2 linked regions of the Drosophila melanogaster genome follow. Changing the gene in region 1 together with any one later gene gives a genetic interaction. Each region holds a gene or a part of one and is shown on either strand. Other genes may lie near its edges.

Region 1 (4,265 bases):
ATTTCATGAAATCTTGAGAATCAGTTTGTGAATCACACAGAAAGTGGGAATATTTCCCGCGGAAAAAGGTTTTGAAAATCAAACTAGGTGTTAGGCATACAGGCAACTCTAAATGTACCCAAAAACCGGCGGACTTTGAAAAGAAAACCCCAAGCGAATTGGCCTCCAACCATTTCGATTTCGAGCAGCCAAAACGGCTCCGCCCATGCCAAAAAAATGAGCAGCTGTTAAAAATGAAGTCAATAGCTTAGTCAATGTGGTGTGTGTGTGTGTGTGTGGTGTTCGAGTGAGTGAGAAATCCAGCCGCCCTTAGCACGCGAGTATCTTTAATAAATAAACGAATAACGAATAATATCAGGGCCATGCAAATAGCCTGATTACAGGGAACTCAAAATCGAGAGAGAGAGAGAGACTGAGCGTGAGATCTGAATGAGTGAGTGAGTGTTTTCTATTCATTCAACAACAGAGCGTTAACATTCTGCTAACATTTCGCTCGAGTGGGGTTCGAACTCAATGCGCATGTGTGCGTGCTCGATCGCTCTCTCACTCGATCCGAGTCTTAAAGGTGGTGGTTTCAGCCGTGATTTATCAGAGAGCTGGGGCTGAAAACTGGTAAGTTTGCTTTGGTGTGAGTGCGAGTACATAAGCCAAAGAGTTCGGCCAGTAGGCGAAACACAGAAACGCTTCTTGCCAGTCGAACCTCTCAGCCAGAAATCAGTCGTCAGCTAGTAGCCGAAGTGTCAGTTACACACATCGAGGATTCCCAAACCGCGTTGTTTCGGCGATCAAAAACCATACATCACATCAAATCGTATCCAAAATTATAATCAAAGTGTTGAAAACCTGAATCACTCAGACTGATCGAAAAGTGCTTGCAAACCGAAAACAAAACAAAAAAAAAAAAAATAACAGACACAAACTGCCAAAGTGAGAAAACGTGCAGCAACGATCGCGAATCGCTGCAATTAAAAAGTCGTCATAAACCTAGTGCCCATCCAACAAAAAAAAGCAAAAAGGTAAGTTCTGAGCGAGGGAGACAACATGAGATCAAAGTCAATTCACGGTTCTTGTTTTTGGGTCGCGGCCGTCGGCAAATTTTACGATCCCTTGTGCACTACTTTTATTTTTTACTGTTTCACGCGAAAAACTAACGGCCACATTTCCATCTTTTCCTTATTTTTTTGCGTCCCGAGGCAGCGGGAAAAAAATCACAATTTTCATAAGCCGAATTTTCTATTTTTTGTTTGACTCGGGAAAAATCGGCGTGAGTTTTTATGGCCGAACGTCAAGGTCTGGACTGCTGCTGCATTTTTTTAGGGAACACTATTTTCGCAGCACTCGTAATGACTTCGAATAAAAAAGAAAATCTACCTGAGTTTTATGACTGGACAGCGCGAAAAAAATGAAAATGAACGCATAGGGTTGCATAATCCGGCAGCTTAAGTTTTTTGGCCTGTTGTGATCATAAAAAACGCCCATCCTGTCTAGTTTTTCCCAGTTTCCTATATATATCCTGGCCCGCCTAGAGCTCAGCATCAGTTGCTCAGCAGCATTCCAAGCGAACAGATCATACAGCAGATCCTCACAGCGATCGTGAGAAAAGCATTCAAAATTCCAACAAATATCATTCCAAAATGGTGTTCAACTTGGTTAGTGTCCAGAGCCGTTCGCCTACTTGTGGATTACACATATACCTCTCGACCAGTGGATTAAACCCTTACTAACGCGGGATTTCTTTACAATCTTCCAGATGAACCAGACATGCAAAGTGTGCGGTGAGCCGGCGGCGGGCTTCCATTTTGGCGCCTTCACCTGCGAGGGCTGCAAGGTAAGTTGTGTCTCAAGAAATCCATTGACAAATAAATTAGCAGAACGTAACCCCCCAAGGGGTTAGTTTTAGAAATGTTCGAGGAACAGGCCATCGGCGATTCAAATCGTTGTACCATTGGCCTTAAGTTCTTGAATGAATTTCTGCTCTTCTTTTGCTAATGAGTTGCATACCACATAACTAAGCCACATTCGTCCTTCCCTTCGCCATTGCAGTCCTTCTTTGGCCGCTCTTACAACAACATCAGCACCATCAGCGAGTGCAAGAACGAGGGCAAGTGCATCATCGACAAGAAGAACCGCACCACCTGCAAGGCGTGCCGCTTGAGGAAGTGCTACAACGTGGGCATGTCGAAGGGGGGATCCCGCTACGGACGTCGCTCCAACTGGTTCAAGATCCATTGTCTGCTGCAGGAGCACGAACAGGCCGCCGCAGCGGCGGGCAAGGCGCCTCCATTAGCGGGTGGCGTATCGGTGGGTGGTGCCCCGTCGGCCTCTTCCCCGGTGGGCTCGCCACACACTCCCGGATTTGGGGACATGGCCGCCCATTTGCACCACCATCATCAGCAGCAGCAGCAGCAGCAGGTGCCGCGTCATCCACATATGCCTCTGCTGGGCTATCCCAGCTATCTGTCCGACCCATCCGCCGCCCTGCCCTTCTTCAGCATGATGGGCGGTGTACCGCACCAGTCGCCCTTCCAGCTGCCCCCACACCTCCTCTTCCCAGGCTACCATGCAAGTGCTGCCGCTGCAGCGGCTTCTGCTGCCGATGCCGCTTACCGGCAGGAGATGTACAAGCACCGCCAGAGCGTGGATTCCGTTGAGTCGCAGAACCGCTTTAGTCCCGCCAGCCAGCCACCAGTGGTGCAGCCCACCTCCTCGGCCCGCCAGTCGCCCATCGATGTCTGCCTGGAGGAGGATGTTCACTCCGTGCACAGCCATCAGTCGTCCGCAAGCCTCCTGCATCCCATTGCCATCCGAGCCACGCCAACCACTCCGACTAGCAGCAGCCCGCTGAGTTTTGCGGCCAAGATGCAGAGCTTGTCGCCCGTTTCGGTTTGCTCCATTGGCGGCGAAACCACCAGCGTTGTACCAGTGCATCCTCCCACCGTTTCCGCTCAAGAAGGACCCATGGATCTGAGCATGAAGACCTCGCGGAGCTCCGTGCACAGCTTCAACGACAGCGGCTCCGAGGATCAAGAAGTGGAGGTGGCTCCGCGCCGGAAGTTCTACCAACTGGAGGCCGAGTGCCTGACCACCAGCAGCAGCAGTTCCTCCCACTCCGCCGCCCACTCACCGAACACCACCACCGCCCATGCGGAAGTCAAGCGGCAGAAGCTAGGTGGTGCAGAGGCCACCCACTTCGGTGGCTTCGCGGTGGCCCACAATGCGGCTAGTGCCATGAGGGGAATATTCGTGTGTGTCTAAGTACACGGCGAAAAAACCAAGTGGGAGGAGTCGCCCCAAAAACCCTCGTTGTTTATTTTTTGTTACTTAAAGAAAATGTAAATTTATTCGTGTGCTCGCTCACACTTAGGGAAGTGGAAAGAGATAGGGACAGACAGGTTTTGCTGGAAAGAGACAGCCTGACCAGGTAGTTGCATTGCACTCGCACACATACACCTATATACCACCACACACACACTCACACTCACCTATTGAGCTCGGATCCAAAAATTATTTTTTATGAAAACGTTAAAATTGTAAATATATCTTTGAGCTTGTTTGCAATTGTATTTTAAAGTTAGCCGGCGGAAGAGCCGTAGAAGTAGTAATCATTCCCACCCTCAAATGCTATTGTACATACAAATTGTTAAGTCTAAGAATGATCTTTATTGTCTCTAAGTATTTTATTCTATTATAGTCCTAGTTATGGTATGTCTAAAGATTGGCATTTAGTTTTATACAAAGAAAAATAAAAACTATTAAAAATTAAACTTTTGTCGTTTCCAATGCTTTTCGGTGTATTTCAGAATACACAAATTCATATTTGAAGTTTTTGCTTATGGATAATTGAACTAACTTATTTACAATGTCGTCTTGAAGCTCATTAATTCCACGGCACGTTTACTTCGGTGTTGCTTTTATTGATTTAATTTTAGTTGTGACATCATAGAAAAGTGTATTTAATTACAAAACAAACACTTTAAGAAAATTATTTAAAAATACTCATACAACGTATTCGTTGTACCTTAAAGTTAACGAACTCTTCTGATTTGTTTAAGCACATTATTATGGACTATATGTCTGGTGCAAACTATCTTTCGGATGTATCTGCTGGATGTATCAACGAAGTTTGTCGGCTACCGCACATTCCTATAGGATCAAAGCCAATAAATTATTTACGTATTCAGCTACCGCTCTTGTTTCAAAATCAGTTCTGTTCAAACATGCGAGCATATATCCATATACATATATCTGATCGGCGGTGTCTTTGG
Region 2 (7,733 bases), on another chromosome or scaffold:
CGTACATGCGGTTAATATCATGCTGATATCTGTCCTGGATATCCTTGCGCTTCAGCTTGAAGGCGGCGGTTACCAGCCCCATGTCCGGAGACCAGACCTCCTTACAAAGTGTGATGGCGGCGGGAACCTCATATTTTTGCAATTTACCTTTAAGATTAAACAATTTGCCATTAAAAACTTTGAAAAATACTCAAATCTGCATCGTAGCTTACATTTCCGCGCATGCTCAGCAATTTCCTTGAGAATAGCCTTCTCTATGATCGGTGATGAGCACAGCTCCTCAAAGGACTTATCACCCAGGCCATGTTTCTGTGCCAGCTCCTCCAAATGGTTTTGGTTGGGAACGACCAGCGCCACTGTGTACTGCTTTGTCGGATCTCCGTATACGCAAATGTTCTCGATGATTCCGCAAGTCTTAAGCTCAGATTCAACTTTGCCAAGGGAAACATACTCGCCGGCCTGCAGCTTAACCAGATCCTTCTTACGATCTGCAAAAAGCGTATTATAATAAAAAAAATGAAAGAAAAAGCACTGTGCTAAATAACTTACCAATAATCTTAAGTACGCCATCAGCTTGTATTTCGCCAATGTCGCCGGTTTTAAACCATCTCTGTCCATCCTCCTCAAAGAAATCCTCGTTGGTCTTGCCGGGCAACTTGTAGTATCCCTGGGAGACACACTCGCCACCAATGAGAACCTCACCCTGGGGATAAGGTTTATTTGTGACGCGGTAGTTGCCTTCTTCCCAGTTGACTAGACGGATGTCGCAGACAGTTAATGGTCCTCCAGTGCGTCCATAGGTCATATCACGGTCTTGTATTGGGTATAAAGTTATTTACTTGTTTTCAAAAGAAAGGTCGATCTGCGATCACTTACAGTCCATGACAGTGGCTCCAGACGTAGTTTCCGTAAGGCCATAGCCCTGAATCAGCTCCAAGCACAAGCAGGTCTTGATCTGCTCATGTGTATCTGCTGACAGAGGCGCTCCGCCAGACATGATAATGCGCACTTTGCCACCCATTAGCTTTGCCACCTTCTTGAACACCAGTCTGCAAGAAAAATAATAGTTTTAGTTAGCAACTCATGATATTTATGAGCACACCGTTCTTACTTATCAATCAGCGGCGTCTTGTACCCCCTCTGCACCCACTTGACTTTGTACTGGTAAAGGAATTTGAAGAGTGATTTCTTGAACGCCGAGCCAGAGTTAACCTTGTCGTTAATACCCTTGGAAATGCGATCCAATATCAGCGGCACCGAAGTCATGCAGGTGGGCTTCAGGACGGTGGCATCGCCCTTGCACCCGCGTTTGATCTTGCTGCTAGTGTCGATCAGAGTCAAGGGGGTCGAGTAGCCAATTGGAACGCCAGTCATGAGACACACACTTTCCGCAACCAATTCAAAAACGTGAGCCAGGGGCAGGAATCCGATCAGTACATCATCCGGATAGATAGGCACCATATCAACAAATCCCTTCATTGTCGCAATGCAGTTCTTGTGCGAGAGGAGGACACCCTTAGGTGTGCCAGTGGATCCGGAAGTGTACATGATAATGGCAATGTCATCTCCCTTGGGTGGAACGTGCTCTGTGGGATACAAAATAAAGTCAATTAGTACTAGTTTAATATTTAACAAATTCCTTGCGCATAGCACGCTATACATATGCTGTCAACATTTCAGTGCTGAATTAAAAGCGCATACTTTCGGTAAACAGAAAGAACTCTTTCCAAATTGTGTAGGGTGATTTTTTAGTTCAGACACCATTCGAAATGGCTGAAGTCCTAGAGGAATTCATCACCCTAACGCCCTTGACTTGTGTGCAACAATGCAATGCTTTACTAGGCTCAACATCAGGAAAGCCGAGAAGCTGCTCCGTATTTTTTACACTATTTGGCGTATACTGCGGCGTTCTCATCTTTCGGGCGTATCGCACATATTCCTCTAAGCAAGAAAGAGACGAGGAAAAGATAACCGAAGGAGTTACCCTTGAGGCTAAGGAGGAAGATTTGATCATAGGACCTGGTTCCAGTCTTGTGAACGAATATGTAGAACAAACGAAGCCGATTCTGTTGCAACCCGTCGGTTTTTCCAGTACTGACATGAGGTGAGAGTTGTAGATTAAAACACTGGATGACCCATCAACACATTCTGTCTCGATTAGATGGCGCTATTGCAACCACTTGCCGGAAGCAGAATTAGCACAAGGCTCTGATAGTGAAAACAGATCAACCGAAAGAGATGACATTGATAACCTCGAAAGGATGAGCAATGTTGTGGATGATAATGATGCGCAGAAGCCGGTTGCATCCACATCGATGGCAACGGCTCGGGCGCCTGAGGATAACGCCGATGGTGAACACGTCGAGCCCACACCATTTTCGGTGTGAAACACGATGCATTTTAGCAAATTTATCGTGTAATTGACATAAATAAATCATCTTTTAAGACCCTTTCAAAACGTACCAAATTTACTGTCCTGTCCTGTCTTGACAACTTGGTTAAACGGCAAGATCTTGACGCCCTCCTTGAAGCCAGTGGTTTCTGTCTTTTGCAGCTGATCCTCAATATAGATAATAGTCTTCACCAATGGGCATTTGTCGAGCAGCGTCTTAAACTTGGGCAGCAGATCATGGGAGGTGATAACCGTGGTGACTTCCGTTTCGGTGATGCCTGGCAACAGAGCAAAATATTATTTAAAAACCATACACATGGTAAGCCAATTTACTCACAATGAGCAACTCCATCATCGCCCAGCGTAGCATAGACAGTGACAATGGGCATAGCCTGCTTAAAGCATCCGTGGGCAGCTATCATCCATTCGGCTCGCGTTTCGGCAAAGATGACAATGTTCTCGCGTGGTTTCTGGCCAAGTTCTCGCAGACCGCGCCCGAAATTAGCCGCCGTGCGCTCCGCCTCGGTGAACGTCTTCCACTTGTAGTCACCGAGGTTGTACTTCTTGAAGACTCGACCGTTCTGCTGCACCTCATCCTCCTCGCTGAGGATCTGCCGGGTGCCCAGACAACGCTTCGACGTGTAAGTTTTGGCCACATAGTTGAATACCTTCTCCAGGGTATCGATATTCTCTTGCAGCATCTTCACGTGGACATCCCGTGGTGGATCCGTGGTCCGGTAGGTCAGCTCATTGTCATCATTCCGCACGATCTTTGCCTGGAAAATGAGCGAATTCGTGGCGATTAGTTTAACGTCGTGTTAGAGGTTGCGATTTAAAAAGAAACGCTAGATTAGGGGAGGGACCACAAAGTAGAATCGACAGAGAGATAACGGACATGTGAGTTTTCGAGGGTTTGTTGAGGTGAGGGCCGTAACTCGGGAGATCATGTTTCTTGGACCAACACCAAAAAGAGTCTCCAAAAAGGGGATTCAACTCTGGGTACGATCACCAACCAGTACCTGGAACATTCATTGTGCGTGTGTGGTGTTTGTGTGTTGTATGGGGGTGCCCCAATGTATGTGTGTGTGTGTGTGTGTGTGTGTTCGTGTAATGTGTGTATGTTCCATAACAGATAGTATTACTAAATAATAAAAAAACACATTTGCAAAAGTTAAACCTCAATGTCATCCGGCGCGTACTTGGACTCATCGACCAACATTTTCTGGTTAATGGGCTTGGCCTGTAGAGGAAGGAGGAGTTGAGATATGCGATGAGAAGCTAGTTAGCTGTGGTATTGCATAGAGTTACTGATTCCCGATTAAGGCATTCAACTCGTTTTACTTATTTTTTCTAAAGATTATGCAAACTGCACACAAATGAAAGCGATCTTAGATTCCGGCGTTGGCGTACCCTTACTAACCCATAAACCTTATCAGCCGACTGAAAAGGCCAACCAAAATGCGTTCCATTTAGATAGTGAAAAGTCAGATAAAAGTGTACCTCAGGTGGGACTTTTCCTAAACGAGTTATAGCTGGAAATATTTATGTTTTAGTTTGTTTCCTTTATTTAAGTGCCAATTTTATTTTTTTAGCATTGCTAGAATTTGAAACTATTTGAGTTTCGAGAAGAGACTGTGAGCAACGCAATGATCCAATTCAGCGACGAAGTCGAACAATTCCTCCATGCATGTCTCAGTGGTTTTGGACTTGCCATTCACACGATCATTGCACTCTTGATACTTGTTGTACAGGGACGCAATGTGACCTTTGGCCTGGCACTTCTCCCTAAGGGCTGCTTGCGGATCAACTAACTCCTTTTCGTCATCATCGGCCTTGAGGACAGGCACCAAAACCCGGCTATTAAACGCCATTCCTTAGGCTTTCAGTTAACAAGACTAATTTATTTTGCAGGAAATGTGATAAGCTAACACTCACTTCGAAATATGTTTTTTATTTCTGGGCTGAGAGCTAGGGTGTCTCACTTGCACAGCTCACTATGTGTGAATATTATTTCCATTTGAAAAGAAGGTAGAGATATTCTATGATTTCTTAACTTCATGGTTCTGTTATCAGGACCAACTGCGATTTCATTATGGCCTGACAACCTGTGCACTTGTCAAATACAGCCATGGCTGGAAGTCCTGACATTCGCGGAGTTATAAAGCAAAATGAAAGAAAGTTAATCGGATATGATAATTACCGCATAAAAAGCGAAGCCCTGATAAAGGCGAATAGATTGTGGAAATGGTGGACCTGGTCAATAAATCAAAAGTAGTCATATCTACATAGATTAGACAATGAAATGAACATAAGGAAACCACCTGGCGAGAACAAGGCTCGAAGTAAGGGAAATAAATGCGGAAAAGAACTTAATGAAACTGATAACCGAGGGTGCACTTTTTTAATAAAAACTAAAACAACTCGATTGTAGCAGGCCTCTGTACTTTGGAACGTGCAGTGCAAAGTCGAAAGTATTTCAACTACACGATTCTAGAGATAGTTACACCCCTCGTCGCACCGATTGGCCGGCTAAGTCTGTGGCTTTTTCCATTCGTTTCAACTAGCCAGATTAGTGGCAAGTCCTGTCAAAGCACTCACCTTCACGCGACGCGAGTCCTGACGGCGTTTCCAGGGCTTCTGCAGCACCAAGTAAACCGGAAGGGTGATGATGTCGTAGACAAAGGCGATCGCCTTGATCGCGCCAATAGCGCTCTGCACCCAGAAGCTGTCCATTCTGAAAGGGCAATAGAAATGTCAAATTAGTGGCCAATTGGTATGCAAATTTCAGCGGGGTATTTCAACTATTGCTTTCCCCGCCTCGTCAAGTATTCGCCCGGTTGACTCCTGCAACCATTCTCCCATTGCACCCACCCACTCGTTGTAGCGCCGTCGCAAGCCGAAAACCAACTGATATCACCACCTGCTGCTGCTGCCACTGTTAGTTAGCAGGTCTTAAAAGTCCGACGGCGGAAAAGGGGTAGACACTCTCACGCTCACTTTGGTTCTCGGTGCTCAGAAAACGCTTTTCAAACGGCCGATAACCGGTGAAGAGCTCTGAAGGTGTTCGGCTTTTTATCAGCTACAGATTGCTTAGCACTAACTAACGCGCCGAAGCCCGGACCGCTAGTAATCATCACTCTTTCGCGGCACAGAATTCTGCCATTGTAATAAACCGAAACTTAAGTGTGTGTGTCTGGCACTCGTCTGGACCCTTTTATACGTCCGGCATCTTATCTGCCATCTAAAACCAATCTAGTTGGCTTGCCAAGTACTTCATAAAACGTGTCAAAAATCAAGGGTATTTGCAATATATCATTGATTTTGAAGCAATCTTTATGGCCCAAATACTTTATAAAATGATGACCCAATTTTGGGGAAATACTTCCTAATTTTTCCAACGGCTAAATTCGGCTCTATTCTTAAAACTCTTATCTTTAGTTTATTTGTGTACTTATCGACAACCGAAAATAACGAAAAGATTTGTCGGGAACTCTTACTTTCTTTGCAATTCCATTAGGACCGCCGTCATTTTAAACGTTCTTGTCACGTTATTTATAATTAAAATTGGACAAAAACCTCATGCCAAATATTTTTAAATTTTGATTTATAATTATAAATCTGAACGACTGCCACCAGAACACTAGATAAACTTATTATCGCAATGCCTAATTAATTAAAACACTGTAAAGCATTTTACTAAGAATTTCGGACGCTGATTACTGATTATCGCTCGATGGCAGACTAAATGGAAAACCAGTTACTAGTAGCATACCAAGACCATACTAAGATAGAAGCTAGTTTAATAGGAAACGAGTCATGCTGAGATTCGCACTTAACAAATATCTATATATAATTATATAATTGAATATTATATGCCGGTCGTGGCATACATACATACATATGTGTCACTTTTTATAATTCCTAGTTGAAAACTGCACACTTGATAAAGACATCGTGTGTGAGTGCTGGCCTGATAAGCAAATCGAACGAATGCCTTGAACTTGGCTTGCGCAAAATGGCATGACGTCAATTTCCCGGGCCAATGAGCTTAAAAGGTTGCGCGCTATGTCAAAAGAAATTTAATAAACCGCAAATAGAATGTTTAAAGTTAAGAGGTGAAAAGTCCATGTGCTAAGTGTCAACTCATTAAAAAAAAATACCCCTACATTTGAGACTCAGCGTTCTTAATGGAATGCAATACATTAATTATATTTCCCAACTCCAAAAAATCCACAACCACAAGCTTACACTGAGTGATGTACTTATGAAATAAAAATACACAGAAAACGGGCTCAAAACTAAACAGGTCTTATATAATAAATGTGTTTACTTACTGCGCATCGTCTTCGATGAACATCTTGCTGCCTTTTCTCTACTTGTCCGATCTATGAATTAAATGAGTGTTTTTTGATCGGTAGTGAAAATGGTGGGTGTGAGGCGTATCCTCCAAAAGAGCCCAGCTCTGATTAATGGCAAGAACAAACGAACAATGGACGCAACAATAATACAATAGGATGATGTCAGTTGTTCCTCTCCAGATGTTCAGTTTGTAGTTTCACCTGCAACCGATAAAAGAACAAATATATGCATTTATGTAGTGCTAATGAGGTAGGACGACAAATGGGGAGCGACAGCAGACGAGGAAGTCATGGAAATCAGCATTGCTGCATTTAACCGATACCAGAGCGTGTGATGACATAATAACAAAGCACCTTTGAGCACACAGAAAATAACATAATTCTATAGGCTGCTATCTAGCTTAGGCTATATTATCTTAGTACAGATAGTAATTTCCCAATTGCATTCTTAAAATAGATTATCATAATCAAACCGCGCGTAAATATATTTTTTTCCAATTAGCCAACTGTGCGGCCTTCGTAAATATTATAATCAAATCAGAACCTGAAGTCCAAACAAGTTGTTGTTACGCTTTCGGTATTTCTGGATACTTGCCAGAATATCGAAACGCTGATAATAAGAACATAAAAAGCGATTAAAGATATTATCAACAGAGAATGGGGTGTATACCTATAGGGAAAATGTAAAATTAGGCTGCCAAGAGAGCGATTGCGTAATCGGATTCTCAACCCCCTCAAAATCACTCTCTCTTTCATTTCGCCCATTAGCTAGGCGGAGAAACATTGGCATAGGTCGGGGACATCAATAGAAACTAAACAAATTCTTTGGCATTCATTTACACAACTTACAAAGCGCTGTTTTTGCTATTCGTTTATAAAAAAAAGTGTTGAAGGCAAGGGCCAAAGTCCGACGCACCAAGGTTTATCCGCTCTGAAAGCCGATACCAATTGGTTCCCTTAGAATCTGCCCGCCCTGATAAGCA

The links.
Region 2: of kni (region 1) and Acsl, changing one enhances a phenotype caused by changing the other (phenotypic enhancement), as found in Drosophila melanogaster (one study listed by BioGRID).

Annotation. Positions count from the first base shown.
Region 1 is NT_037436.4:20,691,826-20,696,090, reverse strand, and holds kni (knirps), read left to right. Parts: upstream 1-1,534; 5' UTR 1,535-1,634; coding exon 1,635-1,649; intron 1,650-1,750; coding exon 1,751-1,828; intron 1,829-2,043; coding exon 2,044-3,255; 3' UTR 3,256-3,761; downstream 3,762-4,265. UniProt on the Drosophila melanogaster protein: Transcriptional repressor. Binds to multiple sites in the eve stripe 3 enhancer element. Plays an essential role in the segmentation process both by refining the expression patterns of gap genes and by establishing pair-rules stripes of gene expression.
Region 2 is NT_033778.4:8,673,865-8,681,597, reverse strand, and holds the start of Acsl (Acyl-CoA synthetase long-chain), read right to left. Parts: upstream 6,029-7,733; 5' UTR 5,890-6,028; intron 5,522-5,889; exon of another isoform or gene 5,264-5,521; intron 5,127-5,263; coding exon of another isoform or gene 5,126-5,126; coding exon 4,991-5,125; intron 4,380-4,990; exon of another isoform or gene 4,264-4,379; coding exon of another isoform or gene 4,003-4,263; exon of another isoform or gene 3,937-4,002; intron 3,633-3,936; coding exon 3,570-3,632; intron 3,169-3,569; coding exon 2,730-3,168; intron 2,671-2,729; coding exon 2,464-2,670; intron 2,453-2,463; exon of another isoform or gene 2,388-2,452; coding exon of another isoform or gene 2,162-2,387; intron 2,105-2,161; coding exon of another isoform or gene 1,770-2,104; exon of another isoform or gene 1,645-1,769; intron 1,587-1,644; coding exon 1,112-1,586; intron 1,050-1,111; coding exon 877-1,049; intron 814-876; coding exon 550-813; intron 489-549; coding exon 213-488; intron 148-212; coding exon 1-147. Other genes in the region: CG30355 (uncharacterized protein), read left to right, coding at 1,770-2,104, 2,162-2,387; UQCR-11L (Ubiquinol-cytochrome c reductase 11 kDa subunit-like), read right to left, coding at 4,003-4,263.